Linked DNA regions of Ovis aries. Each later gene encodes a partner of the first gene's protein in a complex. Links are inferred from orthologs where the notes say so. Each region holds a gene or a part of one and is shown in the gene's direction. Other genes may lie near its edges.

What was found.
Region 2: the proteins of RPS6KA1 (region 1) and synaptojanin-2-binding protein are in contact, whole or in part, in a crystal structure (PDB 7P74), measured with the Homo sapiens proteins. The link is inferred for Ovis aries from reciprocal best matches to the Homo sapiens genes RPS6KA1 and SYNJ2BP. Residues at the interface, in NP_002944.2 of Homo sapiens: Pro731, Ser732, Thr733, Thr734, Leu735; in NP_060843.2 of Homo sapiens: Arg18, Gly22, Leu23, Gly24, Phe25, Asn26, Ile27, Val28, Gln33, Ser45, Arg46, His78, Val82, Phe85, Arg86.
Region 3: the proteins of RPS6KA1 (region 1) and SNTG1 are in contact, whole or in part, in a crystal structure (PDB 7PC8), measured with the Homo sapiens proteins. The link is inferred for Ovis aries from reciprocal best matches to the Homo sapiens genes RPS6KA1 and SNTG1. Residues at the interface, in NP_002944.2 of Homo sapiens: Arg728, Lys729, Leu730, Pro731, Thr733, Thr734, Leu735; in NP_001274742.1 of Homo sapiens: Gly67, Phe68, Gly69, Leu70, Ser71, Ile72, Lys73, Gly74, His78, Ile80, Ser85, His118, Glu119, Val122, Leu125, Arg126, Arg141.
Region 4: the proteins of RPS6KA1 (region 1) and SNTG2 are in contact, whole or in part, in a crystal structure (PDB 7QQL), measured with the Homo sapiens proteins. The link is inferred for Ovis aries from reciprocal best matches to the Homo sapiens genes RPS6KA1 and SNTG2. Residues at the interface, in NP_002944.2 of Homo sapiens: Pro731, Ser732, Thr733, Thr734, Leu735; in NP_061841.2 of Homo sapiens: Gly82, Gly83, Leu84, Gly85, Leu86, Ser87, Ile88, Lys89, Gly90, His94, Ser101, Lys102, Phe104, His134, Val138, Leu141, Arg142.
Region 5: the proteins of RPS6KA1 (region 1) and S100B are in contact, whole or in part, in a crystal structure (PDB 5CSJ), measured with the Homo sapiens proteins. The link is inferred for Ovis aries from reciprocal best matches to the Homo sapiens genes RPS6KA1 and S100B. Residues at the interface, in NP_002944.2 of Homo sapiens: Ala697, Met698, Ala699, Ala700, Thr701, Ser703; in NP_006263.1 of Homo sapiens: Ser42, His43, Phe44, Leu45, Glu46, Ile48, Val53, Val57, Ala84.
Region 6: the proteins of RPS6KA1 (region 1) and MAGI1 are in contact, whole or in part, in a crystal structure (PDB 5N7F), measured with the Homo sapiens proteins. The link is inferred for Ovis aries from reciprocal best matches to the Homo sapiens genes RPS6KA1 and MAGI1. Residues at the interface, in NP_002944.2 of Homo sapiens: Pro731, Ser732, Thr733, Thr734, Leu735; in NP_001028229.1 of Homo sapiens: Arg480, Gly481, Phe482, Gly483, Phe484, Thr485, Val486, Val487, Gly488, Asp490, Lys499, Ser500, His532, Val536, Phe539, Gln540.

Annotation. Positions count from the first base shown.
Region 1 is NC_056055.1:240,329,722-240,335,190, reverse strand, and holds the start of RPS6KA1 (ribosomal protein S6 kinase alpha-1), read left to right. Parts: upstream 1-2,014; 5' UTR 2,015-2,029; coding exon 2,030-2,245; intron 2,246-3,404; coding exon 3,405-3,449; intron 3,450-5,469. UniProt on the Homo sapiens protein: Serine/threonine-protein kinase that acts downstream of ERK (MAPK1/ERK2 and MAPK3/ERK1) signaling and mediates mitogenic and stress-induced activation of the transcription factors CREB1, ETV1/ER81 and NR4A1/NUR77, regulates translation through RPS6 and EIF4B phosphorylation, and mediates cellular proliferation, survival, and differentiation by modulating mTOR signaling and repressing pro-apoptotic function of BAD and DAPK1.
Region 2 is NC_056064.1:26,356,428-26,360,911, reverse strand, and holds synaptojanin-2-binding protein, read left to right. Parts: upstream 1-2,112; 5' UTR 2,113-2,207; coding exon 2,208-2,645; 3' UTR 2,646-3,273; downstream 3,274-4,484. UniProt on the Homo sapiens protein: Regulates endocytosis of activin type 2 receptor kinases through the Ral/RALBP1-dependent pathway and may be involved in suppression of activin-induced signal transduction.
Region 3 is NC_056062.1:33,293,920-33,299,394, forward strand, and holds the start of SNTG1 (gamma-1-syntrophin), read left to right. Parts: upstream 1-2,111; 5' UTR 2,112-2,899; intron 2,900-5,475. UniProt on the Homo sapiens protein: Adapter protein that binds to and probably organizes the subcellular localization of a variety of proteins. May link various receptors to the actin cytoskeleton and the dystrophin glycoprotein complex.
Region 4 is NC_056055.1:751,430-756,393, forward strand, and holds part of SNTG2 (gamma-2-syntrophin), read left to right. Parts: intron 1-826; coding exon 827-919; intron 920-1,833; coding exon 1,834-1,944; intron 1,945-4,964. UniProt on the Homo sapiens protein: Adapter protein that binds to and probably organizes the subcellular localization of a variety of proteins. May link various receptors to the actin cytoskeleton and the dystrophin glycoprotein complex.
Region 5 is NC_056054.1:267,004,594-267,008,441, reverse strand, and holds part of S100B (protein S100-B), read left to right. Parts: intron 1-483; exon of another isoform or gene 484-556; intron 557-978; coding exon 979-1,116; intron 1,117-3,848. UniProt on the Homo sapiens protein: Small zinc- and- and calcium-binding protein that is highly expressed in astrocytes and constitutes one of the most abundant soluble proteins in brain.
Region 6 is NC_056072.1:36,150,051-36,155,014, forward strand, and holds the end of MAGI1 (membrane-associated guanylate kinase, WW and PDZ domain-containing protein 1), read left to right. Parts: intron 1-692; coding exon 693-1,447; 3' UTR 1,448-4,281; downstream 4,282-4,964. UniProt on the Homo sapiens protein: Plays a role in coupling actin fibers to cell junctions in endothelial cells, via its interaction with AMOTL2 and CDH5. May regulate acid-induced ASIC3 currents by modulating its expression at the cell surface.

The DNA of each region.
Region 1 (5,469 bases):
GTGGCTTGGGTGGGAAGGAAGGATGCTTATTGGAACCCATCTCTGACCTCTGGGGAGGGGGCGCAATGGCCTGGGGGCCCTCGGTCGCTGTGCCCATGAGTATTGCTCTCTGAGGAAGCGGGAGGAGAGAGTCTCCACCCTCTTAGGGGCCAGAAGGCCTTTCCTGTAGACTCATAGACGAGGTCTTCCATTCAGTATTCTGCAAGGTCAGTATCATTGTCCTCATTCATTCATTCAGCAAGTGTTTATTGAGCACTTACCATGCGGCAAGTACTTCTCCAACCAGCAGGGTGCCACTGTGAACAAGACAGACCTGCCCGCCTAGTACAGGTGAGGAGACCGAGGCTCGAGAAGTAATGTGACAGACACATTCAGAGCGAGTGGCTGGCAGAGCCGGCAGCAGGGGCTCTGTCTCTGTGGCTGCAGACCTGTGCTCTTTCCACCCTCTGTACAATAGTCAGTCCGGAAGGGCAGATGCGCCCTGTCTTCCCAGGACCCTGGCTTTCAAGGGGAAGGTCACCTGTGGTCCTCTCTGCACTCCTAGTGCTCTCGCTAGGGCCGCCCATTTCCCCCTAGAGACCTTGTGCATCAGCTCTTACAGGCCTGGGCGTTCCATGAGGATGGCACCCAAGCCAGACCCCGGGACTGGAGGCAGCCAGACAGGCTCCCTGAGTCCTCCAAGATACTGCCCTGTAAGCGCCCACCTCTGGGTTCACCCACCACCTCCTCCTGTCTCTCACTGGGGATTCACGTGACTCTGGGTCATAGCCCCATGTCTGTCACCTGCTAACAGAGAGGCCACAGTTAAGTCACTCAGCTCTTCTGAGCCTCATCTGAAAAATGGGAGGAATAGAACCTACTCTGGCCTCCTTGCTTGCTTTGCTGGTTTGAGGTTTCATTTGACAGGCTATGTGCCAGACCCTGAGCTGGGTGCCAAGGAGACAATACCGGACAAGCCGTGGCTCCTCCCTGAGTTAATCTGAGGTTTGCTCGGTGCTGTGAGGCCCAGAGGAGGGAGGAAAGGACTTAAGGCTGTATGGACAGAGGAGAAGACATTTAACCAGGTCCTCAAAGAAGACCAGGAGTGTGCTGGAGTGACTGGGCAGGAAAGACTTTCTTGGTAGAAGGAGCCACCGTGCGAATGCTTGGGGACAAGCTGGCCTGTTCAGGGTCTCAGCTTGTTCAGTTTAGCTCCAAAATCGGGATAGTAATAATGGTGATTGTTTGTGGACCAGTTATATGCAAGCTGTACTTTTTTTTTTTTTTTTATATTTATTTAGCTGTCCCAGGTCTTAGTTGTAGCACTTGGGATCTTTAGTTGTGGCATGTGGGATCTGACCAGGGATCCAACCTGGGCCCCCCTGCTTTGGGAGTGTAGAGTCTTGGCCCACTGGACCACCAGGGACGTCCCTGGATGTATCTATTTTATAGACACTATTTTGCTTGCTTCTTAAAGCTACCCAGTGAGGTACATTACTTTTATCCCCATTTCACAGATGAGGAAACTGAAGCTTTGAGAAATGCAGTAACCTCAGGGTTATGCAGGTGATAGAAACCAGAATTTGAACCCACAAGGTCAGATTCCAGAACCCACATTAATCACCTGTGGGAGCTGGAGATGACGGCTTTGAATGCCATACCAAGGAGCTGGGACTTTATCCCACAGGCAGTGGGAAGCCGTGGAAGAGTTTGAGGCCTGGCACCTAGAAAGTTCTCAGTAAGGAGTAAGTGAGTGACCAGGGGAGTCACTCAAATGTAATGGTTGCAGTTGAGTTTTAGGAAGGGTGAGGGCTTAGAATGGGGGAGGCTGGTGTGTAGGCCCTTGTTACCATCCAGAGTTATGTCAAGAGTCTGCAATGCTGGGTGAAGTGGAACTCCGTCTACGAAGGCCTCACGCCTCCTCCTCCCCTCAGGCCTGGTTCCACCCAGTCCTGCTCCCCAAGCTCCTGAGAGAGAACACGTATGGTGGAGCCTCAGAACGCTGGCCCCTGGGGAGGATTAGGGGCATTAAGGGGGTTCAAGGGGCAGGATGTCCAGGGACTGGCGGGGAGGGAGTGCTGCTCCAGGAGCAGGGAGATTATATAATGGGGAAAGCACAGCTGTGCCTGCTGCTGCCAACAAGACTGCAGCTGCCCTGTGGACTTGGCCCCTGGTCCAAAGTCCTGGGTCTTCCTGGTCTCTCCACACTCTTGCTGCACATGAGGGCTGGAGACCGCTCCGTTTAGCTTCCCAAGGCCCGGATGGGGTAGGTTACTCACTTCATATCACACAGGAAAGGGGTGGTATACCCAGGGTGGACAGCACCCAGCGGAGGGTGAAGTCTGGGGTCTGGAGGACTGTGCAGGGGTGAGCTGCCATGCCTGCATCTCTGTTGCCCTGGCTGGGCGCTGGGCTCCTCTTCCTCAGTCTCTTGAGCACCTCCTGGTGTCAGAGACCGGATTTTGAATCCCCGCTGAGCAGCATTGTGGCTTAGGTGCCGTCACTAGGCTTCTCTGCGCCTCAGTTTCTTTCTCTGCCAAATGGGACCCGGGCCTACCTCCCAGGTCAGGAGGGTTTAATGGTGCCACAGATGTGAGGTACCAAAGCCAGTGCCGGCGTGCAGCAGGGGCGCGGAAGAGAGCAGCTGTTAGCACCAAAAGCCTCATCTCTGCCTCCCAGGACTTCCCGTTTATTAGGAGGGGCTCCCAGGTAAAGAACCTGCCTGCCAATGCAGGAGACCTAAGAGACATGAGTTCAGTCCCTGGGTGGGAAGATTCCTGGAGAAGGGAATGGCAACCCACTCCAATACTCTTGTCTGGAGTAGCCTGGCAGGCTACAGTTCATGGGGTTGCGAAGAGTTGGACACAGTTGAAGTGACTTAGCACGCACGGCCCACGAGTCCGTAGTCCCTGCATTGTGATAAGTGGTAAAATGAAGGTTCATAGGGAGTAGCAGTGATTCTGCAAGGATGGAGAGGGGTCCCAGAGCAGGCAGGGCCAGAGCATTTCTGGGCTGGACACTCTCCCAGACTTTATGTCCTTCAGCCCTTGCATCAACTCTAGGAGGTGGATGTAAATACCCATGTTACGGATTGGGAAACTGAGGCCTCTTGAGTTGGTTAGTTGGCACACACCCACAGTCCTTTCCTTCTCACTGGGAGGAGATGGCATTTGAGCCGGACCTTCAAAGATGAGATGTTTTCTAGGCAGAGAACATGGGAGGGGTGCCCAAAGCGGGCTACCTGAGTTGGGGCGATTGCAGAAGGCTTGAGGCCTGTCCCCTCCCAGAACTCCCGCCCCCACCTCCAGGGCCCCTCTAGCCACTGGGAGCATCCAAGGGCTGGGGCGCCCCATAGGGTCTGTCTTTGCTTTGTGCCACTCTGGTAAGTTCTGACAGTGTTCCCCACTCTCTCCTCTCTTTTCCAGAATGGACAAGCCTCAGGGGAGGAAGCTGGGCTTCAGCCATCCAAGGTAAGGGCCAGGCCCTAGCACCGGAGCTAGGGATCGTCAGGGGTGGAGTGACTGTTTGCCTGGAGTGGACAAGGAAGGAGGCACTGACCTTGTCCCGCCCAGGTGTGAGGCCCCCTGGCCCAGCTCAGCCTTCCTTCTCTGAAAGTGAAAGTCACTCAGTCATATCCCACTCTTTGCAACCCCGTGGACTATACAGTCCATGGGATTCTCCAGGCCAGAATACTAGAGTGGGTAGCCGTTCCCTTCTCCAAGGGATCTCCCCAACCCAGGGATTGAACTGCGTGTTGAAGGTGGATTCTTTACCATCTGAGCCACCAGGGAAGCCCAAGTCCTTCTCTGGGCCCACCTAATGCTCGAGGCAGCCCCGTATGTCAGGATTACTTGCTTCAGCCTTCCGGTTCCTCAGGGGAGTGGACTATGGCCCAGACAGGGTCAGAAGCCAGGCTAGAACTCAGGTTTACCCGTCCCCCAGACCAGGACGCTTCCTCTGCTTATTTACTCGTGGTGGCTTGGCTGACTGTATTAAGAGGGTGAAGGGGTGATGGGAGAGGCTTAAGTCCACTGGGCCTGACGAGGGCATGGCACCTGGTGCTGGAGGGAGCCTGGTGGCCTCCAGTCACACCAGGGCCCAGTGCCTGGCGTGGGGCACACAGGCCGTTTCTCAGGCCCCCTCCCAGGCCGGCTCCCTCAGCTCTACGCTCTCTGCTCCCCTTGGGTCTATCCCTTCAGCCCCCAGGGCCTGTTGCTGGTTTTGTGTGTTGACAGCACTATGAGGCTGGGGGACAGTCTGGCCTGGGCTTTCTCATCGCCGTGCTGGGAATGGCCTCACCCAGTTCTCAAGGCGTTGTGAGGTCGCAGAGCTGCTGGCTGGGGAGGGGCTGTGGAAGCCACCAGGCAGGACAGGGCCTGAGTTCTGGCGGTAGAGCCTACCTGAGTTCTGGTCCTGCCTCCACCATCGCCATTTGACCTGAAGCTTCTCCCTTCTGAGTCTGGTTTCCTCAGCAGTAAAATGGGAATAATGGTACCTGCCTCCTACCTCTCAGGAGTGACGTGAAGAACAGATAGAAGAGCAGCTGCCTGGCACACAGTAGCTTTAGTCCTGGCAGCCTGAGTGCCTGGCCGTGTTGCTCAGCTCCATTGCCTGTTAGTGGCCGCGCCCTTCTGGCCTGGGTCTGCTTAGGTACCAGACCATAAGCCTGACCTTTGAGATAGACTGAGGGCTGGTCCTGATGTTTGTCTTGACTCAGCCTCCTAAGATAAGGGAGCCGAGTTTCCTGGGGTAGGGCAGGCCAACAGAAGTAGGCTCCCACCCCTCCTCTTTTTGTTACTATGGCAACCTTGGGTCACCAAAGGCCAGGCCGAGTCATGTGGACTGAGCCCCTTGACTTGTCTCAGCCCCATGTCTCAGCCTCCTGTGGGAGAATCTCTTCCCACCAAGTAGCTGCTCCTGGTTGCCTAGTAATGAAGGGACTGTAGGTCTCCAGTGAAGGTCCAGATGTTCAGATCTTGGGGCTGTAGTTCTAGGGGTTGCAAAGGTGCCTGCAGCTTTGAGGGAACTGGTGGTGAGTACAGCTTCTCACCTCAGAGCTAGAGGGGCTGGTTAAGAGAAGACAAGCACTTACCCAGGTGGACAAACTACTCTTGATCCCAAGTCTGTGATTCCTTCCTGCTTCTGGAGCAGATCCTGGGGTGGGAAGGGAGATGAAGCTGGACGTGGATGGGGCAGGGAGAGCCTTGAATGCTACGTTAAGGGAGAGAAAGTGCCATACCAGGAGCTTTGCATTTGGTTCTCATAACATCCCCAGAGGTAGAAACTGTTACTCTCCCCATTTTACAGATGAGAAAGTTGAGGCCCTAGGTCAGATCGCTAATGGGCAATGAAGTCAGGTCTTGCTTGACCACAGAACCCACATTCCTCCCAGCCCAGGAGACACACTGAGTGCTGAAGAGGAGGAGCACTGCGTCCCCGTGAGCACAGTTTCCGTCATTACTCGGCACCTGCTCGTTCACCTTCTCTGTT
Region 2 (4,484 bases), on another chromosome or scaffold:
TTGATTTTTAGGAACCAAGTGGAATCTTTCTCTTCGCCCCTGGGAATGTCCCACTTTTAGACAAGAATAGACTTTTTCTATTCCTTTCCTCCATTCGACATCAGTAGAAGTTTCAAATATCATAAAACTGATTTGGCTGTAACTGGAGAAATGCTACCAAAACAATATGAAACCAAAAACCTAAAGGGTAAACCAAAAACCCTAAATAAACCCTCAAGTCTGGTCTTGGGGTTTAACAGATACCAATGACACGGGAGACCACACGTGATATAATTAACAAAGCAAAGACAGCAGTACATGGTACACAGGGTCCCAGGATAACCCCACATAATGAACCCCTTGAGGAGATCCTAGCAGGTACTGGGGCCATACATTTTCAACTTCTTAGTCATGGTTTCATAGCTGTAATCAGACCACTTATCCAAAATACGCCTCTGAGGACTTTCTTCAGGCATAGTTGAAATATTTCCCTTTTTTTTTTTTTTGGCCACACTACATGGCTTTCAGGATTTCAGCTCCTCAACAAGGGACTGAACTGGGCCACAGCAGTGAAAGTATCAAATCCTAACCACTAGATCACCATGGAACTCCCCATTCCCCATTTTTCTTCAAGACATAAATACAAGACAGACAAACAGCACACACAAATGTCAGCATCCAAATAAACAAACCAATTCACACAAATTGCATAAAAGTCCATCAACTATGTCCTCTTATCCTCTTTCCAACATGGTGCCCTACTCAAATGTGCTTCCCAGGTGGCGCTAGTGGTAAAGAGTCTGCCTGCCAATGCAGGAGATGCAAGAGACGAGTGTTCGGTCCCTGGGTCGGGAAGATCCCCTGGAGTAGGAAATGGCAACCCACTCCAGCATTCTTGCCTGAAAAATTCCATGGACAAGAGGAGCCTATAGTGGGCTCTACAAAGTGGGCTCTACAGTCCATGGCATCGCTCAGACACGACTGAGCACACACACACGCTCCACTCAAATACAAATTGTCTTATTCTAAAGGAAAGAAGCCCTAAATGGAGAAGAAATAAGATCTCCAGTTGTTACATGGAGTGACTTACCTACTGCATGAGATGTTGATTCCTTGCTCCACCCGCTAAGAGCTGGGACAGCCAGAGAAGCTTCAGGGAATTTTAAGGGGAAGATCCTCAGGACGAGTGGTCCGGGCAGCTGCTAGGGCCTTACCCCCAAAATCCCCCAACCAGAGCTGGCTGGCCATGAGCAGCAAGACTGGCTGCTCATACTGCTTTGCCATATAATAGGTCAATAAATCAAGTGACAAGTTGTTGGGGTAAGGAATGGCAGCCTGAGAAGATGGCAGACTTGTGTCCTTATGAACCATCTTCCTTGAGTTAGAATCCAGGCTTCTTTTAACACTGAAAGAGGAGGGAGTAAGGCCCTGGTTCTGGCCAGACTCCAGGAGGGATTTCCTCCTGCCTTCAGTCTTTCACAGATGGGCCTGGTCAGGAAGATGCTTCCTCGTGAGCTAAACGAAGGTATTTTAGCTTAGTGTTCATTACCTGGGTGACAAGTGTCCCAGAGATGGTCCATTATGGGTAATTTAAGCTTAGAGGCAACATCCCGTTAGTGATTAACTTGTAGAAGAACACAAAGGTTCTTCTCCCTCTTATAGTCACACAAGTAGATTGGCAACGACGCCTGAGACTTACAGTCAGCTTTATTGATCATGGACACCTGTGTTCGTTTTACAGGCCACAGAACCGTTTCACATTCACCATTTTGGGGTCTCCTTTCTCGTCCTGTAAGGTCCTTCATAACCTTACATTGAGGGTCCACACAGCTTTTCCATTTCCCCACACACCCTTGAAACCTCAGCTCCTCCTGGTAATGCCTTTTCATTGCTCATTTTAGACTTCAGTCGCCCAGAAAGAATCTCATTGGCACAGCTCACCTCCTTGCACATGGCTGATATGGGTACCGGCTCTAAAATCTGCACTGCTGCTCATTCCACAACCTCTGGACGAAGGCTGGGCCAAGGACTGTTGTGATAAATGCAGCTATTTATTCAAACATTAATAGGCACCGACAGGTTTCCCTGCACAGGGCCAGATGCTCTGGTTAGAGAGATGAATAAGCCATGGCCGAAAGTGCGGTGTTGTGGCTGCTGCCGGTAGTGCTTCTCACCTTCAACCTGCACCGATCCTCGCTGACCCCGGTCGGGAAGCCAGAGATTAAAATATGAACGGAAGAGTGGATTACTTGATTACCGAGGAAGAGATCAATCTCACCAGAGGACCGTCAGGGCTGGGCTTCAACATCGTCGGTGGGACAGATCAGCAGTATGTCTCCGACAACAGTGGCATCTTCGTCAGCCGCATCAAAGAGAACGGGGCTGCAGCCCTGGATGGGCGGCTCCAGGAGGGTGATAAGATCCTCTCGGTCAACGGCCAAGACCTAAAGAACCTGCTGCACCAGGATGCTGTGGACCCCTTCCGTAATGCAGGCTATGCTGTGTCCCTGAGAGTGCAGCACAGGTTACAGGTGCAGAATGGGCCCATAGGACCTCAAGGCGAAGGGGAGCCAAGTGGTATTCCCATAACTATGGTGCTGGTGCCAGTGTTTGCCCTCACCATGGTAGCAGCCTGGGCCTTCATGAGATACCGGCAACGACTTTGAAAAACTTGCTTTCTTCCTGTGCTCCCAAAGAAGAAGATACATTTCTCTTTTTCTCTCACCCTCTCCTGCCAGTCTTCCATAACTTTTCCCTCTACATAGCCAGCTCATGATTTCAAGAGACTGCTACCCAACCAGAATCTTGCTATTTGAAATCTCTGAATCCTCATTTTCTCATGGGAGAGTAAAGGCAGTGTCTGAAGGAAACCCGAAAGAAGGACTTGCCTAGAACAAACGAAGAGTTATATATTTTACTAGAACCGCCAATAGAAGTTCAGCTACAACCCAAAAAATGGGAAAGGTCCAGTCTTCCCATCACCCTGCAGTATTCCTTTTTTTCTTACCTGGCATGCATCAAAGGCCAGCTGTAATAAGAGGAAAAAAGGATTTTTCTCTTTAATGATCTTCCTTGGGAAGTTTTTGTGGCCTTTTATTTAATTTCTAACTATTAATACCTACTTGGGCACCTACTTTGTATCAAACAAAGATGATTGAGAAGAACATTTCTACTTTTTAAAACAAACATATATATATATATACACACACGCACACACACATATATATACGTACATATTCATGTATGATATTATAATAGTGATGCCTTATGGAGAATTAAAGAAGTGGAAAGCAACTCCGGTTTCTAGGTTTCTGCTATAAGGATTAAGTGATAGTCTTCAATAGAAGAATTCAGTATGTAGCAAGAGTAATAGAGTGAGGCTTAAAAGAGGATAGCAATCTGAGTCATTTAAAAAAACGAAAACTAAAGCAACTAATTAAGAATCTTAAAAAAAAAAAAAAAATAAGCCATGGCCCCAAGGAGGAGGAAGACACCTCACAGGTGACAAGCAGAAGCTGTGGGTAGGGTCCCGTGTCACTTAGCTTCTTCGCACTGCAAGAGTCAGATTCACGAGCGAGGTCTCCTGTAGGTTTTCACATAGACTGGGACAGCCCGGAAAACTGTCAGCACCCACGGCAGCCCAGGGACTGACCGCTGCTGCCTTTGCCCTGGGCTCCTCTCACGCCTGCTTTTTCTATCTCGTACGTCCTCTTCCTACTGTGTGGTCTCTGCTGTCCCGTGTCTTCCACCTCATCTCACCCCTAGTCTTGGCCCCACATCAGCCTTGACCTCTCTCCAGAGGCAGCCAATTCAGGCTTTGCTGCCTGATGCCATGAGGCTGTGGGTGCAGGCATAGAAAGGTGCTGGAATGGGCCAAAGATGCCCCCCTTTACCCAGGGTGGTGGGCATGGCCACACGACCAGTGCCATCCATCACTTACCAACCCAGCCCACCTCCTAGATATCTAGTTACCAGGACACCCTGTCATGAGTCCATTCTCACAGCCACAGTTGAAGATGCATTACACCCTTCCAGCCAGGATTGAAACGTCTCACTTCCAAGACTGATGGTGACAAGGGCCCTTCGAAAAAGCTCTCCACCTCGGAGTCCAGTGTCCTCAGGCTTACATTCAACCTCCTCCGGGTGTGGTTTCTGTCCGTTTTCCAAACCATGGGCTAACTCCTCAGTTTAAGTACCATCACTACATCATGTATAAACAATACAGCTCTCTCTCTCTCACACACACATAGACGTCATGTAAGACACATAAAGGGGCAGACCCACACTTGGACCAACAACCTGCATGTAGGAGAGTAGCCTGGGGTGAAGGGACAGTGAGTAGGAATCGTAATCCCAAACCTGGGATTGAAGCCTGGGTCACTGGCCCCAGACATCTCTCATGTTCTCCAGGAGAGGGCTTTACTGCAGAGTCTCAGAGGGGTGGTAACTTACGGGTGGAGATCTTGCTCACACCAGTGAATCCCAGGGGCATCTCCTGCAGAGTC
Region 3 (5,475 bases), on another chromosome or scaffold:
TTAATTAGTCACATCTTTGAGCCCTGAGTCTTATTTAAATACGGTTCTTTTATCTGATGTGTTAAATTTCTGCGATTATCCTTGTTTCTACTTGTTGGGAGAGGATAACAGATGTCATCAATCGCATCAAGCGGGTTAAATTCTGCGGAGAAAAGCGTTCTCATCCACCAGCTCCCCAAACAGTCCGAGCTCCCCAAACCTGGAAGCGATGTGTTTGCCCTCTCACAAAACCTGCACCTTGTGAAGCTTGTCTGTGGGGATGACACGACGTGTCTCTGCAGACACTAGAGACGCATGTGTGTCTACATCTGTCCAAGGAGAAGAGAAACTTCATTTACCAAGATCCCCAGCAATCCGTCTGCTTTCACACGGACCCTAAAGCAAAACACACGCTTCCACATTCGCCCCAAGTAACAACATTCTGAGTGGCTTTGTGGGTCTAGTGAAGGCGGGGTGGCTCCATCTGACGCGGTGTGAGAGCTCCCTCCGTACCTGCCACCGGCGCCCCAGTCACCAGCGCCCCTGGTTAAAGGCCCGATAGAGGGCGGGCGACGTGCCCCTTCCCACCGAACGAGCAGGCTCCCCAGCGCAGCTCAGCGGGTACTGGAGGCCTGTAGTGAGTCGGACCCTCGCCCGTCGCCGCGTCCCCCTCAACCCGCCTCCCCCGCGCGTCTCCAGCCCCAGCGCCCCACGCGCCCTCGCGGGAACCCGCTCGAGCCCAGGCGGCGGAGAGGTGGCTCAAAGTCTAAGGAAACCGTGGACTTCCCGGGGTGAATAACGAGCCTGTCTGATTTCCATCCCAGATGATCCCCGGTCCAGTTCCGTTTAGCCTTGAGGGAACCAACCGGAGCCGCGTTGGCTGCCGCCTCCCACGCCGTCCCCCACCCCCAGGTCCTGGGGGAGCCCCCTGGACGCGCGGCGCCAGCCCCTTGGCTCGGATATCCCGCGCCGGCGTGGAGGACCGCGCTGCGTCCACGACTCCCTCTGCTGTCGGCATCCGGCACGAGGACTCTGAACGCCGGGCCGCGAGGAGGGCCTGGGACCCGAGTCAGGAAATTCGCGTTTATCTCCAGCGCCCTCACTCCACACCTGGTCCTTCCCTCTTGAGTTCCCTCCCAGGTCTCCAACAATCTCCGGGCGCGGAAAATGACACTCGTAATCTCAGTGCCTGGAGAGGTGCCCAGTGGTACGACCCTCAACCCCAGCTACACTTTCCCTTTTTTCTATGAGTCCTTGGTCGTAATTTTGATCAGCTCTCTAGCAGTTCCAACGTAGTGAATTTCGGTCCTCCGCCTCACCCCACGCGCGTCCGCACCGGGTGCCGAATGTGGGCGGCGGAGCCCTCGGTGGCCGTCCCGGGGACCCGTGCGCCGCCCCTCCTGGTGCGGGGGTCGGCAGCTGTGAGAGCCAGTGCCGCGGGCAGAGGTGGGGTCTGCGCGCCGCGGGGGCGAGGGGTCGGCGAGGCCTGGGGGCAGCGAGCAGAAGCAGGCTAAAGAGCGGAAACCCGAGCCGGGACCTGCCGGCTGCGCCGCGTTCCGGCATTAGAAGGGTGGGGACGGCCGATCTTTCCCGCTGACTTTATCGTCCCCCGTTCGGTCCTTGAGAGACCGCCTCCCCCGCTGCCCTGCAGGGCCCGGGGCTGCGGACGCGCGCCAACCCGGCCTCGGGGAAGGAGCCTGCGCCCGGCGCGCATCGCTGCCTCCCCGGCTCGGAGCCCCGCGCTCACGCGTCCGCGTCCCGCCCGACCCCCTCCCAGCGGCTCGGCAAGGATTTCCAGCCAGTTCAGCAACGCTTTACAAGGTATCGCGGCCTTTTCTTTCTTTCTTTTTCTTTTCTCATTTTCTGTGTTTTCATTGAACAGTAACCTGTCGTTTCTGCTCGGTGCTGTGTCTAACCTGGGAATTTCACAAGGCGCTTCTCAGAATCTAAACGCCCCCCACCCACCATGGGTGATGGAGATTGAGGAGTCTTCCGAAATAGCCCTTTCCATCTTATGTAATTAGAGACCCACAGAAGCGCTGGATTTTCCACGGTACATAATCTATATTTATTCTCTCTCCCCGCCTCCTTCTCTCGTGCGCGCGTGTGCGCGCGCGTGTGCGTGCGCTCCCGTTCATTTCTAGCATCAGGAAACTCGTTCGCGGCCACTGAAAAGTCAGGAGAGGCTCACAACTGATTTCCCACGGATTTCTGCTTCCAACGGCAGATGCTGTCCGGAAGCGGTGCCCCCAGACTAACATGAGACCGTTATCTTGGAAAGCCGGTTAGCCCTGCCGCGTAAGAAGCGCCGGGGGAGGCGAGCCTGAAAGAACAGCTAACCGATCGCGTTCGCCGGTGGGGAAAAGTGCGGCGCGGGGCCGGGCCTGGGGTTCGGGCCCGCACTTCAGCACCGGCGGGGATGGACAGCGTCTTTGGACCGGGCCACAGCCGGGACCCCACTGCGCCGCCACGGTCCTCGCTGCCGCCGTCGTCGCCGAAGGCAGCCCGGCTCCCAGCCAGGAGCAGCTAAGGGGCTTCGTCTCCGATGCCCCGGCACCCCCCTGGCCGGCCGTGACAGACCGAAAGGGACCTTCTTCTGCCTGCTGCGACCCCTGCGCAGGGCTCAGAGAAGCTCACCTGATCCGCAGATTAAACTCGGCAGCAACTTCCAGGAAAATTGTCGACAGGGGCCGGAGGAGCACCGGCGGCCCAGAGAGGCCGAAGTTGTCCGGCCTCTGGAAACCATGGGCTCCGCAGACTGGGTCCGAGCGCTCTGAGGAGGCCCGCGCTGCTCCAAATAAACAGGATGCTCCCGAGCGGGCTGCACCTGTTTTGGAAATAGCTTTTCGAGAGGAGCTTCTAGACCTACTCCCAACCTGGCGTTAGAGAAACTGGAAGATTCTAATTCCTTACTCGGCCGGTAAGTGATAATACTATTATTACTGCTTGTTTGTAACTCAAGTGACGACCCCCCCCCCCCACCGCAAGATTTTAACAGAAAGATTAAAACAGTATTATTTTTTCCTTGTGGATTAAGATGATAAACAGTTTGATTTTTAAATGGTTGTTCCTGTGTAATGATCTTTGGGAAAATCTTGCCTAGTAAAGTAGTTGGATGTTTTACTTATCTGAAGTCCTTTAGGTGACAAGAATATTAAAAATGATATGTGTGTGTGTGTAAGCCTATATAAATATAGTAAAATTTTAGTCGGATATTTTTATTGATGATCTAGTATCTTTTTGAATCTGTGTCCCTGTTTTCCCCCGAAAGAATACAATGTGGCATCTTGTAAGTTTTTTTTTTCCTCTTGGTGTTATGCATGTAGTTTAAAGTGATCCTGTTTGTATTACATAGTATGCAAGACTCAAAAAGTTACTAGTAGTGATGGTTTCACCATCTGGTCTATTATATTTTATATGAATATAATGTGCCAAACTGTACACTCGGTCTCTCTCTCTACCCCAATCCAGAGTGTGCTTACACTTGTGGATCTTAACCTACAGAAATACACACATTTTTATGCAGTGTTGTCTTTCTAGCCTTCTAAAGACTGCTTACTCAAACCAGATCTGCCAGAAGGCAGAAAATGAGAAGCTATAGTGTGCCTTTTTAGGAGAACAGGTTTCCAAAGCATTCTTAGTCCTATGAAAATGCATTTGTCACTGAAATCCACAAAGTGGTGGGGGGCCAAGAGTTTTTGGACGAACCGTAAGCTTTAAAGTGTTTATGAACTCTATTTTCTGTTGACTCTTACTTCTGTAGCTTTAGAACTGCAATCTTTCGCAGTGACCTTGATGAGCATTCTGCTTTAAGAAAAGGGCTTCACAGGGTAAAGGCACAGATTTATAGCCCACGCCTGACATTTCACTAAGGGCTCGCTGGGTTCCACCAAGCACATCCAGTTAGTGGAGAGCAGGGCTTGGCAGGAATGACTCTGACAACCCTGTGAACACATGTGATGCTGTGAGCACGACCAGCCCTGTGGGGAGAGTTGGCCCTTTTGAAAAAGCACAGTTCTTCAGGTTCTCCTCTGAATTTCATAGGGCATCTATAATCGATCATAAAATACATATCCATACTGCCCTGTTTTTCAATTTCATCACTCAAATCCTTGAAGGCAGTTAAGATGGCATTGGCCAGTATGCTGAAGGGCCCTTGTTTTGCGTTGACTGAGAACAGAAACTGCACTCTAGGGACAAATTGTTCTTAACTGTCACTTGCCACTTACCACAAACCTGCTTACTTAGCAGAAAGGGAGAGTGGTGTCGGCGTCATGGAGCTCCTTGGGGGCTCTATTGCCCTATATGGGTCAGAAACGGCAATCTCAGGAGGAAAAATGCACTATTGATTTGGAATCCTTGCCAGGAGACCTGCGGTGTGCCCCTGACAAACCTGCTTTTGTGTGTTTGTTTTTTCCCCCTAATCTGGAAGATATGAACATGAAATTGTTACATATACTAATTAGTCATGTTTGAAGAGAGTTGCAGCCTGTTGCTAGACCCTGAGTGTGGTTGTCAGTTAATAGCACAGACAGACTGCCTGGTCAGCAGAGCATAAGATGGAAGCAGGCCTGTGGGCACGTGGCCGCAGTTACCTTCTCAGTGGCAGAGGGGGCAGGCTTTCTCCATGTGTGACAGAAACAGCACAAAGTAAAAGTTATCCTGGGCTCATCCCTTTAGAGATTCAATCACAGATATAAAGAACTGATTCACCCTTCCAAGCCCAGGCAAGCTGCCTGGAAGCTCTCCTTATCTGTGGGGAAATGCCATTGCATTGAGACAGCATTTTGTAAACCAATTTAGTGCCTATGTAAATTATAATCTCTAACTGCCCCCAGTCTCCCTGACTCCACAAAAGGAGTGGGTGGGCTAATGCAATCATACTACTGTTTGCACAGAATCCCTTATCTATAAAAAGAAATCAATACTTAATTATAGGACATCCATATCCTATTAAAACAGCTCTTTTTCCTGATGTTTTTTTGGTCTGTTACCAAAAAAGGATGCATGAAGTTTGAGAAGTATCAGACACAGTACTCAACATCCCGTCTCAGAGGAAGGAGTTCTGTTGGTGGGGGTCAGTGTTTTTGTGTTGCTTCTACTTGAGACTCAGAGGAGAAAAGTGAAGTAGAATTGCATAATGAGGACAATGGAAAGTGTATATAGGAACACAGGATGATTTGAAATGAGTTCTGGAATCTGGTAAGTTACTTTTCTTCTTTTAACAAGAAATGGTCTGCGTGAGAGTGGGACAGAGATTTCTGGCTTGAACCTTTATGTTATACAAATATTATAGAAACACTTATCAGTCAGTATTATTATTTAGACCATCTAATTATTAACACACGACTGAGCCACTTCACTTCACTTCAGTGTGATTATTGACCATCAGATCCTATTGGATTGGAAGGTCCACAGTTTGCCTTTGAAATTGCTTGCTTGGGTTTGAACCAAGTTATATACATGTTTACAAAAAATGTAAAAGAAGAGATGATT
Region 4 (4,964 bases), about 240 Mb from region 1:
CTTAGCTCCTGCCTCGTGGGTCTGGCATGGCTGGCGTCACCACCGCTGTGCCAGGATCCGTGCACTTAGCTGAGAATTGGACAGAAGAGCAGCCTCCGGAGCACCAACCACGCCTCTGCTGCTCACACTCAGCCGGCAGTGCTAGGAGCTGTGGGCATCGGTCGCCTGATGCTCGCAAACCCCGAGCCTGTCGGGGTCGCCCCGCCAGCCCCACCCACCCCCACAGCAGCCTCCCTCCCGCGGCCCTGGGCGCAGAGCTCAGTGGAGTCTCTGCTGTATCTGTCCTTTGCTCTTGTTCTGGGTCAGACCCCTCGGAACGTCTCCCAAGCGCAGCCGGGCCTCATGTCTCGGGACGCACTTGCAGGCTGGCCTGTAGGAGCAGAGCGTGCATGCTCATTCACGTGATGGGGACAAATGGCATCACGGGGAGCTGTGGTCTGGGGTTAGGGTGTCTCCGGAGGACGCGTCGGGCTCCACTTTGCTAAGACCGGCACCTCTGCTGACGGTGTGGCTTCTGCACCTGCCGGCGGACCCGCGCGGGAGGCGCCGTGAGAGCCGTGTCCCAGGGACCTCCGAGCGCTTCACTCTTCTAAAAGCAGGTTTGGATGGGGGCAAATAGTGTGAGTGTAGGCATCCGTCACTCAGGCGTGCCCGACTTGGCGACCCCATGGACTGAGCCCACCAGGCTCCTGTCTCCCTGAGATTTTCCAGGCAAGGGTACTGGAGTGGGCTGCCGTTTCCTTCTGCAGAGGATACTGTAGCCACCCGATCAATGTGAAGCTTCATTTTAAAAAGATATTTTCTCACAATTGATCCTTTTTCCTAGTCCAAAACGTACGCGTGCGGCGGGCAAGGGGACACTCTGTGCTTCACGGTGGACTTCGCTCTCGGATTCACCTGTTTCGACAGCAAGACCAAGGTATGTGCCGAGCAGCCAGGGGCGGTGCCGGTGGGCAGAGCATGCGTTACATTTCAGGGCTGTGATGCCCGTCCACGGCTGCGGCACCACCAGCCCTACGGCCGTGTCCTCTGCACGGGCTCCTTCGTGGTGACCCTCTCTCTGAGAGCTCAGGGCCCCAGCACCTCACAGGTCCAGAGCCGGACGGGGCTGCCACCACATCAGCCAACAGGAGCCAGTCAGTGTGACCGTGACATCCATGCCCAATAAATAACAAGGACTTCCTTCTAAGGACCACTGTGGACCCTTTAGCTGATGAGCGGGGAGTGTCCACTTTCACGCGCGAGCCTTGGCGGTCTTTCATGATTCTGTGTAGATCACGATTCTGCAGGTGGTTCCTAGAAAGTTTCCACCGCTGAGTTTTTCCTTTTCCTAGTCAAATCTGACCCGACATTGAGTGATGTTCTCAGAGCAGTTTGCTCAGCGACATAGGTAACCCAGCAGGTGTGTGTGTACACAGATAACTGAGCAGGTGTGTGTGTACACAGGTAACCCAACAGGCATCTGTGCACACAGGTAACCCAGCAGGCGTGTGTGACACAGATAACTGAGCAGGCGTGTGTGTACACAGATAACCCAACAGGCATCTGTGCACACAGGTAACCCAGCAGGCATGTGTGACACAGATAACCGAGCAGGCGTCAGTGACACAGGTAACCGAGCAGGCGTCTGTGCACACGGATAACCCAGCAGGCGTGTGTGACACAGGAAACCAAGCAGAAATCTGTGTACCAAGGTAACCCAGCAGGCATCTCTGCACACAGGTAACCCAGCAGGCGTCTGCATTTGCTCAGGTTATTTAACAACACTGGCTGATGTTAACTGAATAAACGTGCTCCTGGGTCTAGAGCACTAAGGACTGCCTTCCTTCACAGAGTGTGCTCTGGAGGTTTAAGTTCTGCCAGCTGAAGGGGTCTTCCGACGACGGGAAAGCTCGGGTGAAGCTGCTGTTTCAGAGTCTGGACACCAAGCAGATCGAGATGAAGGTAGGGACTCGTCCACGGTGCAGCCTCGCCTGAGTGAACCGGGTGTCCGGGGCTGGGCGTGCCGTTCCCCTGGCATGTGGAATCACCGGAATGCAAGTGTGAACCCTCCTCGGAGTCAGCCAGGGTGTCATGGGAACCCAGGGTGTGTCTCCTGTTAGAGGCCTTAATATCCTAAAACTGTAGTCATTGAAACCCATTACTTGATTCCACCAAAAAGCACAAGTTTCTTAGTAAATATTAGCAGGAAATCCACGGTTAAACATACAGAAGTCAGCTTTTAAGGGAAGAGTTATGCAAATTGCACTATGTGATGACTTACCTGCGATACTAAGGACACACTGCTCTGTGAATTCAAAGGATCTGGACATAACAAGTAATGTGGAGAGAGGGGAGGTGCACCCACCCCCATCCAGGTCAGAGCCCAGCATCACCTGGCCTGGGGACACGGCCCTGGCCGCCCTGAGGCTGCTCTGCCAACCGCTGGGTGGGAGAGGCCCGGAGCTGACTGGGAGCTGACCGGACGCTGTCCTTCCCCCACGGCCTTTGGTGCAACGCAGGCTGCTGAGGGTGTGCAGGGCACCCCTGCTGCCTCCACCCGGCTGCGCGGGCCTGGCCCATGTTGCCACACCTCCCCACAAGGAGCCACTCAGGGAATTTTCTGAACTCTGCCAGCCTGTCGTCAGTGCCTTGGGAGCGCTTACACCACAGCCCCCAGCAGCGCTGCGGCTCGGAGCAGAGCTGGGTTACGAAGCCCCCGAGTGGAAGACCCACACCTGACCCCTGGTGGGCCTGTCTCCACCCCAGACGTGCGAGCCTTCGTATTATGAGAACCAGAAAGTGGTTGTGCCCTGATGTGAGTTCTCGGAGAACAAGACATAGGAAACTGTCCTGTGCACGGTTATTCCTGGAGAGTGTTACGTTTAGTTGTATTTGTTTGGGACATTTTCAGAGGAAAATTACACAGGATATTCATTTACATTAGGCATTCATCATTTATTTAACAGTCATCTCTTTCAAGTATAGCTTTGCTCAGTTTCCACGTTTAATTCTTTGGGAAAGACAGTGGTTAAGGCTTCCTTTGAAATACAGTTTGTATTCACTGTGGACAGTGACTGTAGCCATGAAATTAAAAGACGCTTGCTCCTTGGAAGAAAAGCTGTGACCAACCTAGACAGCACATTAAAAAGCAGAGATGTCACTTTGTCAACAAATGTCTGTCTTGTCAAAGCTATGGTTTTTCCAGTAGTCATGTACAGATATGAGATTTGAACTGTAAAGAAGGTTAAGTGCTGAAGAATTCACACTTATGAACTGTGGTGCTGGAGAAGACTCTTGAGAGTCCCTTGGACTGCAAGGAGATCCAACCAGTCAATCTTAAAGGAAATCAGTCCTGAATATTCATTGAAAAGCCTGATGTTGAAGCTGAAAGTACTTTGGCCACCTGATGCGAAGAGCTGACTGATTAGAAAAGATCCTGATGCTGGGAGGAATTGGGGACAGCAGGAGAAGGGGATGACAGAGGATGAGGGGGTTTGATGGCATCACCCACTCGATGGGCGTGAGTTTGAGCACGCTTCGGGACTTGGTGGTGGACAGGGACGCCTGGCGTGCTGCAGCCCACGGGTGTGCAAGGAACTGGCCCCGACTGAGGGGCTGAGCAGCAGCAAAGTGTGGGTTCCCGCAGCAGTGGAAGCTCTGCTCTTAGTTACAGAGGACTTTAGAGCCCTCCTCGGGCTTCCCTGGTGGCTCAGAGGGTAAAGCGTCTGCCTGCGATGCGAGAGACCTGGGTTCGATCCCTGAGTGGGGAAGATCCCCTGGAGAAGGAAATGGCAACCCTCTCCAGTATTCTTGCCTGGAAAATTCCATGGACAGAGGAGCCTTGTAGGCTACAGTCCGTTGGATCTCAAGGAGTCGGACACGACTGAGCGACTTCACTTCTTCACTGCTTCAGGCGTCGGGCCATTAGATAATGCTCTGGGAGAGCTAAGAGCCCAGGGCGGCCGCTGCTCTTCAGAAGGCCCTCTGCTGTCTCACGACATTTTCTGATGAACATCCGCTGTGTGTGCCATGAGAGGGTAACGCGGGTGGCTCCATGAAGAAGTGCGATTTCCAGAGGAGATTTACGGAGGCCGCGCAGGCGACGTTCACACTCATACATTGATTGAAAGCATCACCCTTGTGAGAGATGCAGCATTCCCGAGAGTGAGGCTCGTGAGAGAAGGAGTGTTTCCTCAAGTTCAGGAACCTAGTTCTTTGTAGTCTGACAGCTCAGTGCAGACCCGCTCGGCTTCCTGAGAGTTTTACCTAATTAAGGAAAAGATCAAGGTATTAAAACATTCAGAAGCTGGTAATTAGACTAAGCTGCAGATCATATTTAAACTCAGTATTTCAGCCTCAATGAAACATTAAAGGAGTTTAATAAAAACCTAGGTCCTTAGGATGAATGAATTGCAGAGGAGAGTACCTGGACGGCGGGGTTAGAGCAGGGGCTGAGCCTGACACTCACGCGCTGGCCACCAGGTCCCTGCCTGGATGGCAGGGTTAGAGTAGGGGCTGAGCCTGACACTTGCATGCTGGCTGCCAGCTCCCTGCCTGGGCAACAGAGTTAGAGCAGGGGCTGAGCCCGGCCGCTGGCTCCCTGCCTGGATGGCAGGGTTAGAGCAGGGGCTGAGTCTGACACTTGTGTGCTGGGCGGCAGGGTTAGAGCAGCGGCTGAGCCCGGATGCCAGCTCCCTGCCTGGAGCAGGGTTAGAGCAAGGGCTGAGTTCGACACTTGCATGCCCAGCCGCCTGCTCCCTGCCTGGATGGCAGGGTTAGAGCAGGGGCTGAGCCCGGCTGTCAGCTCGCTGTGGGAGCTGCCTGAACGCAGAAGCAGCACACGCGCATGCAAACATGTGCACACATGTGCACGCATGTGCCTGGATGCCTGCAGCACTGTGTGCACGAGCACACAGGAGCACATATACACAGACACGTGAACACACATATGCAGACACATGCACACATACACGCAGACACGT
Region 5 (3,848 bases), on another chromosome or scaffold:
GTTTTCAGATGAAAATAATCTGCATCCCAAAGAGACATTTTGGAGTGGCAAGTCTTGCTCCCCTACAATAACTTCATCAAATGATTGTATAATACCTTCAAATTCAAGGTCCCTTTCCTTGATCTTTTTCAAAAAAAATTGTGGCAATTCTACCATATTTATTTTTTCAGTTGAATTTTCTAGCTGTTTTTTGGTCATGTTCTTCACCGCCCCCCCAAAAGTCAGAAATATTTTTGTTAAAAATGAGTTAAATTTATATATCCATTTGAAAGAAAGTTCCTACATTTTATGACCTCAGTAGCTTTTGGAAGGACCTACACTTTTCTTGCTAAACTTATGCTTAGAAATACGTGTGTGCTGCTGTAAAACAGGAGTTCTCTGCTACATTTTCTAACTGCTTATTGACAGAACATAGAAATACTATTGACTTCTGTATCCTTATTTGGCTCCTGTTCACCGTAATTAATTCAAAACCTTGGGACTTCCCTGGTGGTCCAGTGGCTAAGACTCTGTACTCCCAATGCAGGGGGCCCAGGTTCAATCCCTGGCCAGGGAACTAGATCCCACATGCCATAACTAAGAGTCTTCATGCAGCAACTAAGACCCCGGCACAGCCAAATAAATACATTAAAAAAAAAAAATTCAAAACCTTGCTCCCCTGCACTGTCACCTCATCTTGCAGTCCTGCCAGGACGGGGTGGGGAGTCTTCTAGAGATGGGGGAGGACTCAATCCCCTTCACTGCTCTTCCCCTGTATTTTGGTTGAAGTTTCCCCCAAATGCAACCAGAAGCCAGAGGGCTTGGGAACAGAAGACAGAGAAGGGAGGGGTGGCAGGGAGCAGGTTCAAGGGGTGATGAAAAGCCACACCCTCTATGCCCAAAAGGGGAGGTGAGCCAAAGCCAGTTGCCCCCGATGGTAAGGTCGGTGTAGGTAACAGCTGATCTGTTCTACAAAGCATCTTTTTTTGTGGGCCCCAGATGTCTGAGTTAGAGAAGGCCATGGTGGCCCTCATTGACGTCTTCCATCAATATTCCGGGAGGGAAGGTGACAAGCACAAGCTGAAGAAATCAGAACTGAAGGAGCTCATCAACAATGAACTTTCCCATTTTTTAGAGGTGAGTCTTGCTTTTTAAAACTAAACTAACCTGCTCTCCTGTCCCCTTGTAAGACCATCTGTCCATTTTCTCTTCTGAGCTGCCCTGAACATGGCTCCAGGTTGGTGTCAGGACTCCTCTGTTGTTTCTGAAAATGTGTTTGCACAAGTGAGCCCTCAGTACAGAGGCTGGCTTAGGTGGGCCCCACAATTTTCATTTTGTGTACAGTAAGAGCATCAAGGAAAAACTACTGTCTCAAACGCAAGAGTACAGGTTCTTGGAAAAACCTAAGGATATACAGCAATAGGGTGGCTTCCCCATTGGCCTAGTGGTAAAGAATTCTGCCTGCAATGCAGGCGCTGCAGCAGATGCAGGTTCAGTCCCAGGGTCAGGAGGATCCCCTGGAGGAGGGCATGGCAACCCACTCCAGTATTCTTGCCTAGAGAATCCCATGAACAGAGGACCCTGGCAGGCTACAGTCCATGGGTCACAGAGAGTCAGACACAACTGTAGCGACTAAGCATGTACAACAATAACAATGACAAAGTGGGATGGAAACTATACCATGGCTTATCACACGCTGAACATGCAAGAAGACTGTTAAAAATAAGCTTTTGCTCTTGGGAAGAGGACTGTTTTGGCTTTCTCTACATGGTTAGATCCATCACAGTGAGAAGATGCCAGGTATTACTGAGCTCTCAGCATAGTCGATGCTGGGAGAGATGCAGACCCCAGGACCTGGCTCATCACCAAGAGGCCACAAGCTGCTCACGAGAGAAGCCCTGGGGCCTTGCAGGGGCCCTGTGGGGTGAGGTGCCCTGGCGGGAACTTGGGAAGCTGCATGAGGACATCTGATGAGCCCCACTGCTCTGGCAGCTCCCTTCTGGTGGATGTGTGTCCAGATGCTCTGCTGAGGACTCACTTCCCCACTCACAACCTTCACTGCCCTTGGCTCAGCCACATGTCATCTCTGCTGTATCTGTATTGTGTATTCAAGGCAATGAACTGCAGTCCACCTGGTACCTAATATTCCCTTGGTGCCCAGAACCGAGATTACTGAAGTGATCTTGCACCCAGAGGAAATGGCCATACAGTGCACCAGTGCACTCATGTCTGACCAGGAGGTAATTCCTGGGAAGACACGAGAGCCCAGCCCACGTGGTGGTGGGAGCTGTCCTCCTGGGCAGGCTGGACCTTGGTGCAGGACGAGCCACAGGCTCCGTGCCCTGAGTCTGCAGGGCTCTCCCCACCCAAACACTCCACGGCTGCAGATGGCACCACCATGAGAGGAAGTGGCCTGCAGACTTCAGGGGGCATTCCCTAGTCTGATTCTGAAGCTGGTTTTCCCAGGCACCCAAGTTCTCAGCGTGGTAACTGCCTGCTCACACTTTTACTTACCTTGTTTCCTGCCACCTCACCTAAGAATCAGAAGGTCCTGGATTCTTCTGTGAAAAGAATTGTTGCAGTGAGACATTGCTTATCAAGTGCAGCTCAACAAATGTAGCTACTGTCATTAATTATTGATTTAAAACAGAGAAAAAGCTTAGCATGTGGGAAACACAGTTTATAAAATAAAAGTGAATCATGGTAAGTATATTAAGGTATCATGAACATTGTTGGCCTGGTTTTTATGAAGTAGTTTCTGTTTGGAGGCAAATCTTTCCTGTAATTGAAATTAATCTTTTAGCAGATGTTTATAGGTGCCACCCAACCCCTCACGGGAACCTCAGTCTTTTACATGTTCTATGTCTGAGGCAGCCATTGTGCATTATACTCGACTTCTTCAGGCCAAGCGCTCCTGCCCTGAGGACTGGGTGTTCGGAAGAGTCAGTGGTATTATACTCCTCTTCAGCTCGTGTGCACGTCTTTCCTGTTCTGTCTCTGTCCTCTGTCTCACCACTCGCTTGACTCCATGTTGGGCATAATGTCAAGAAGAGTCCCAGATACCTCGAAAGCAGCTCAAGTGCCAAAAGACATAAGAAGTTAATAAATTTAGGGCGTGTTCCCGAGAGTTATTTCAGCCAGAAACTACTTTCAAAACCTGAAAATCCACTGGAAGCCTTCACTGTAGGGTCTTCCACATGCAGAAACAATGAAAAACTTACAGGAGCCAAAAGTTCATTTTTGCTTTCAAGGCATTTGCATATAATGTGCTCAGGCTAATCTAGACTGTACTCTTCCTTTCTGTTTTTTTTTTTTTTTTAACACAAACAGCCTGCAGTTTTTCAGATCCTGGCTGTTCCATTCAGTCTTTTAGTAGCAAGATCCCACTGCACCTAAAGGAAAGTGGAAGAGAAGGCTTAGACCCCTAGAGACCTCTGCCAACCAACAGCCTCCTGGTCACTGGAAAAACCCTTTCTGGAATTTTGCATTCATGTCTTAGGTTGTTTCTAAGTTAATAATAATAATTATTATTATTATTATTTTTGCTCTGGAAATTGTTTTTCAGCTGTGCCATGTCTTCTTTGCTTCACAGGGCTGCTCTCTAGTTGCCGCAAGCAGGGGCTTCTCATTGCTGTGGCTTCTCCCGTTGTGGAGCACAAGCTCTTGGGCACGTGGGCTCGGCACGTGGGCACTGTGGTTCCTGGGCTCTAGAGCACGGGCTCAGTAGTTGTGGTGCAGGGGCTTAGTTGCTCTGAGGCACGTGGGATCCTCCTAGATCAGGGATCGAACCCATGTCTCCAGCATTTGCAGGTGGATTCTTTACCCCCGAGCCACCAGGGAAGCCATTAGGTTGCTTCTAATATAAAATT
Region 6 (4,964 bases), on another chromosome or scaffold:
AATGGACCCTCTCATAATGTCACATTTGCCTGTTGTCAACATCTGGCTGTGTTGCCTCTGTCATCACCAGCCTGGATTTTTTTTTTTTTAATGAAAGTATACTTTGCTCACAGTAACATTCATAAAGCCTGAGGGCCCAGAGCAGTGAATTTCTACCTCTCTATGCACCCATTTAATCCCTACTCAGATCGAAACATAGATTCTTTCCATTCCCTTACAAAGTTCCCTCATGCCCCTCCAGTTCAACAGCCCAGATTTTTGTAAGCAAATTAAAACAATCTTTAAACAAAGGAATATTTTCTGTCATGGGGTGGGGGGAGATGTCAGGGAGGAAGGGTGATGGCTGGGGGAAAAAAGAACAGGAGATACTAAGGGGGAGGGCCTTTTGATACTTCTAGACAGATTACTTGGGCTATTCCTTTAATAACTAAACTCATGACTGATGTTACAAGTTGAATGATCTGTATGAGTACAAAGATGGTAGGCTCGCTGCCAAAAGCCACAAGTACCAGTTTTTAACCATGGCTAGTTGGAGTTATACTTAAATTAACTAAGAGTCAGTTTGGCTTTGATTCTGACTGCTTTTAACAGTTGTTTGCTTGTTGTGACTAATGGGGTCTCAAGAGGGCGGGTGGGGACAGGAGCCAAGGTCCTTGATACCAAACTGTTGCTCTCGTTTCTCTTCCTGGCAGACCCCAGCAGCGACGGGAACGGCCCCCCCACCGGTCCACAAGGTGTTCCGGAAATGAGGGCTGGGCCCCCTGACCGCCGACAGCATCCATCATTGGAGTCCAGTTACCCACCCGATCTTCACAAATCATCACCACATGGGGAAAAGCGGGCACACATGAGAGATCCCAAAGGCAGCAGAGAGTATAGCAGACAACCCAATGAACATCACACATGGAACGGAACTTCTAGAAAACCCGACAGTGGGGCTTGCCGACCCAAGGACCGGGCACCCGAGGGACGAAGAGACGCCCAACCCGAGCGGATGGTGACCAATGGCCCCAAGAGGAGGTCTCTGGAGAAGCGGAGGGAAGGCACGCGCAGCGCTGACAACACTTTGGAGAGAAGGGAGAAGCAGGAGAAGAGGAAGGAGGTTTCCCCGGAGTGGAGGCGAGAGCGGTCCCCGACCCGCCGGAGGGACGGCTCTCCAGGCCGGCGGCGGCGGTCTCTGGAGAGACTCTTGGATCAGAGAAGATCGCCCGAGCGCAAGAGAGGAAGCTCGCCCGAAAGGAGAGCCAAATCCACCGACCGGAGGCGGACCAAGTCCCCCGAGCGCAGGAGAGAGCGGTCCCTGGAGAAAAGGAACAAAGAGGACAGAGGCAGCCACCGGGAGAGGGACGAGACGAGTCTAAGACAGGACGCCGGCCGGAGTTCCAGACATCCCCCGGAGCAGCGGAGAAGACCTTACAAAGAATGCAGCACCGACCTCAGTATCTGAGAGCCTGCGTCACATTCCCAGCCTTTACCATGTCAAAGGTTCGAAGAGGAAGCTCACAAACCTGAAATCATTTAGTTTCTTACCTAATGAAACATCTGACGTCAGCCTGATGATCCTCTGACTAGCGACATTTGATGCATTTGAAATCTTATAAGAAAAAAATATATATATGAAAAGTGGTGTGCCTGATGTATCATATTAAAGAAAGTATTTTTAAATGCATACTTTTTTGGGAAATTATTTGCTAAATGCTTCCCCCAAGGGATATAAATTTTGTTTCTACATAAACTGTAGAATTGTTAAGAATTGTTCCCTTTGGGGGTGGGGGTGATCATTTTCTCTCCTGGTTAATTGGGGCTGTTGATCATTTTCTCTAAGTAAGGAAAATTATTGATCAAATTTAATTAATTTGATGGAGACTGTTATGTACTGATGTAGTGTTGTAGTGTAGTTAGGTGTGTTTTTTTTTTATAAAAGCAAAAAGGCAAAAGTTATATTTGTAAAAGCTAAGGACTCCTTGGAATAAATGAGGATTACTGATGATCCTAAAGTTAAGCAAACTGTATGAAGAGACTACTGTTGCAAATGAAGGATATTTATAGCTAAAGGACACAGCACAAAGCACAAAGAAATGTTATGTTCTCAAGTTATTCTCCATTCAGAACACAGTTTGTACTCTCCCTGGCTATAGAAAGGTGCAGAGAGGAGAAGGTTGGTCACCGTTACCTAAATGCAGCCCACGCACAGATGGTCAGGTATTAGCATCACCAACATTGAATGAGAATCTCATTAAGGCAGTGCCATGAAAGTTTTGCTCAACTGCTAGAAGGAATGCACAGCAAACACCTTTGGTGTTGTCTTGCCTGATTTAAGACTGAAGAGTAAATGGCATGGGAGACTTGGTGGCGGTGTGAGGAGCCCTAAGAATCACTAGTATAGAAAGTTTCCCTTTTTATCATGAGCCTGTGGTTGCCCTTTGCCAAATTGGGGAGGAGGGAGTAAGCCTTGGTAGAAGGAACTTCTCTGTTGATATTTAAAGACATGAGGGTTGGGCATGCTCATTCTTAGAAATGCCAGTTTTCTTTGGAACCGTAATAAAAATCTCCAAAATGGTTGAAAGAGAGAGAAGAATTCTATTTCATTGGTTCTAGATCTGGTTGACAAACATCTGCACTTATGACCCTGTCCTTTTAATCTTTGGGCAGAACAAAATATAGAAATTTTTCTTTAATAGAAGACATTCTTTTGCTATCTCACAGGAGGTTGGTTGGGTCGGCTATAGCCCCGGGTTGTGGTTGAAATGAATTACTGCCTAGCTGAGCCAAAACCTTTGCTTGTACCTGTTGGACCACTACAACAAATCGCTGCTTATGATGCATTGCATATTTCCGTAGTACTGTTTTGCATTTTCCATACAGACACCAAACTTTGCAAGTCAATCACTGTTGTTCTCATGGTACTGTTTAAAAAAAAAAAAAAGGATAAAGAAAAAAAATGGAGAAAACCAGCCAATTATCTTGTGTACAGAGTTAAAAATTGTAATTAATAGAGCCTGTTTTAAAAACAAACAACTGTTGCCTTTTTTTCTTGTATAAAAGAGAATTTATGACAAAAAAATTAGCTGTGAGGAATGTGACATGTGTTTATATTTCTGAATATGGAACAAATTGATTCATTGGGATATATTTTACTGTAAACTAAATCAGGTATGTAAAGCTGTTTTAAAAATGGGAGACTATATAAGTAATTCTCTAAAGCTTTAGTTGGTTTGAATATCATCATTTCCTCCATGGTGAGCCTGCTTGTGAATTATTAAGCACTTGTTTGCATTTCTGTTCTTCATTCATTTCTTGCAGTGTGCTGTGGACTTAATGCTCTTTCTGTATTGATGAAAAGCAGTATGTGGGCCAATCTTTTTATAAAACACTATGCATATATAAATATTACATTGTTCATAGCTTTATTTGACTTATGGGTTTATACAACATTACAATGAGTAGCTGTCCTTCTGTGGATATGCACAAACCAAGTTCATTTCCTGGAACAGACACAATGTACATTCTATAGCTAAAAAAGAGGAAAAAGTCTGAGACTGCTATTTTTATCTTCAGAGTTTTCCATACAGAGCATATATTGAGCTACAGTAGTATGGTGAGGGAGAACGCAACTGAATAATGATGTTCTTTTTTCATCAATTTCCTAAGAGCCAACTGGGGATTTTATTCCTAAGGCTCCATTGCTAGGAGTTCTCTCACCCATTCTAGCCAAATCCATGATGTTTAATGATCGATGCTCTCAGTTGTGGTCCAGAGTTTTAAATAAATGAAATCAAGAGGTGGATTTTTGGAGTGGATCGTGAAATTAACATCTCAGTGTCTTTCTTGTTGTCAGAGATGTTTGACATGTTAAAATCTATGTGCTACCCACCTGGGCTTGGCTTTATCCGTGAAGACTTTTAGTGTGGCAGTGCCATCTGAGTTTCATACTTTGAAAATATCATACTTTACAGGGACTATACATTAAGCAGAAAGATAGAGTTTTTCTCTGAACTACTGTAACCTTAAATTGGAGACTGATTCTTTTGAGCCTACTTTCCCTAGTTCCCCACTTCATGTAAATGTCTTGATGAGAGATGATATGAATGAGTATTTTGTATGATTAAATCAAACCCTTTAGGAACTCCCCTCCCACCCATGAGACAGTTGATGCCTGAAAGAATGTTGCGGGGAGGACTTAACACCCTACTTGTATTTTTTAAGTTTCTTTTGTGAAAGATTTTTTAATGCATTTTTACTGTAAAAATACATGGAAATGTATGCATTCCATAACCACGATTGCTTCTGGATTGATATCTTTCTTGTCTCTGTGTTGTCTCAAGTATATCAGGGTCACGTCACCAAGTAAGAGTGTCTGGCTCCCAATGCAATGAACTATCATACCATTTTGTTCAAAGGGAAGAGATGATGGTCTTTCAGTAATATAGTGCCTTGATACTCAAAATCCAGCCTGTAGACCAACTGCCATCTCATCACTGGAGAGCATATTAGAAATGCAAAGTTTCAAGCCCCACTCTTGACCTGCTGAGTCAGAATGTGCCTTTAGCAAGATCACCATCTGATATGAATACACATGAAAGTTTGAGCTGCATGGTGTTGCACGGAACCCTGGTGATAAAGCACAGCCTGCTATGCCTCCTAACAGTGTAATACTGGGCCAGTTCCTTAACCTCTTTTAAAGAATCAGTTTCCTCATCTTTGAAAGGGCAGATGTCATAGAGTTGGTGAAAGGAAATGCAAAGTGATTAGCACACCTCTGGCAATCAGAAAAATTCTCAGTGAATAACACTAAACTTTTTTTTTTTTTTTGAGGAGAATTTTCTGCATTCCAATCAGTATTCTACTCCTTTTTATTGTCCTGGTTTATTTTCCAATCAAAACGAAGAAGTATTTTCTCGATTAAAATGGGGAAGAAGACCTTCTATTTTAATTGTAAAGTTAGCAAACAATGTGGTTCATAC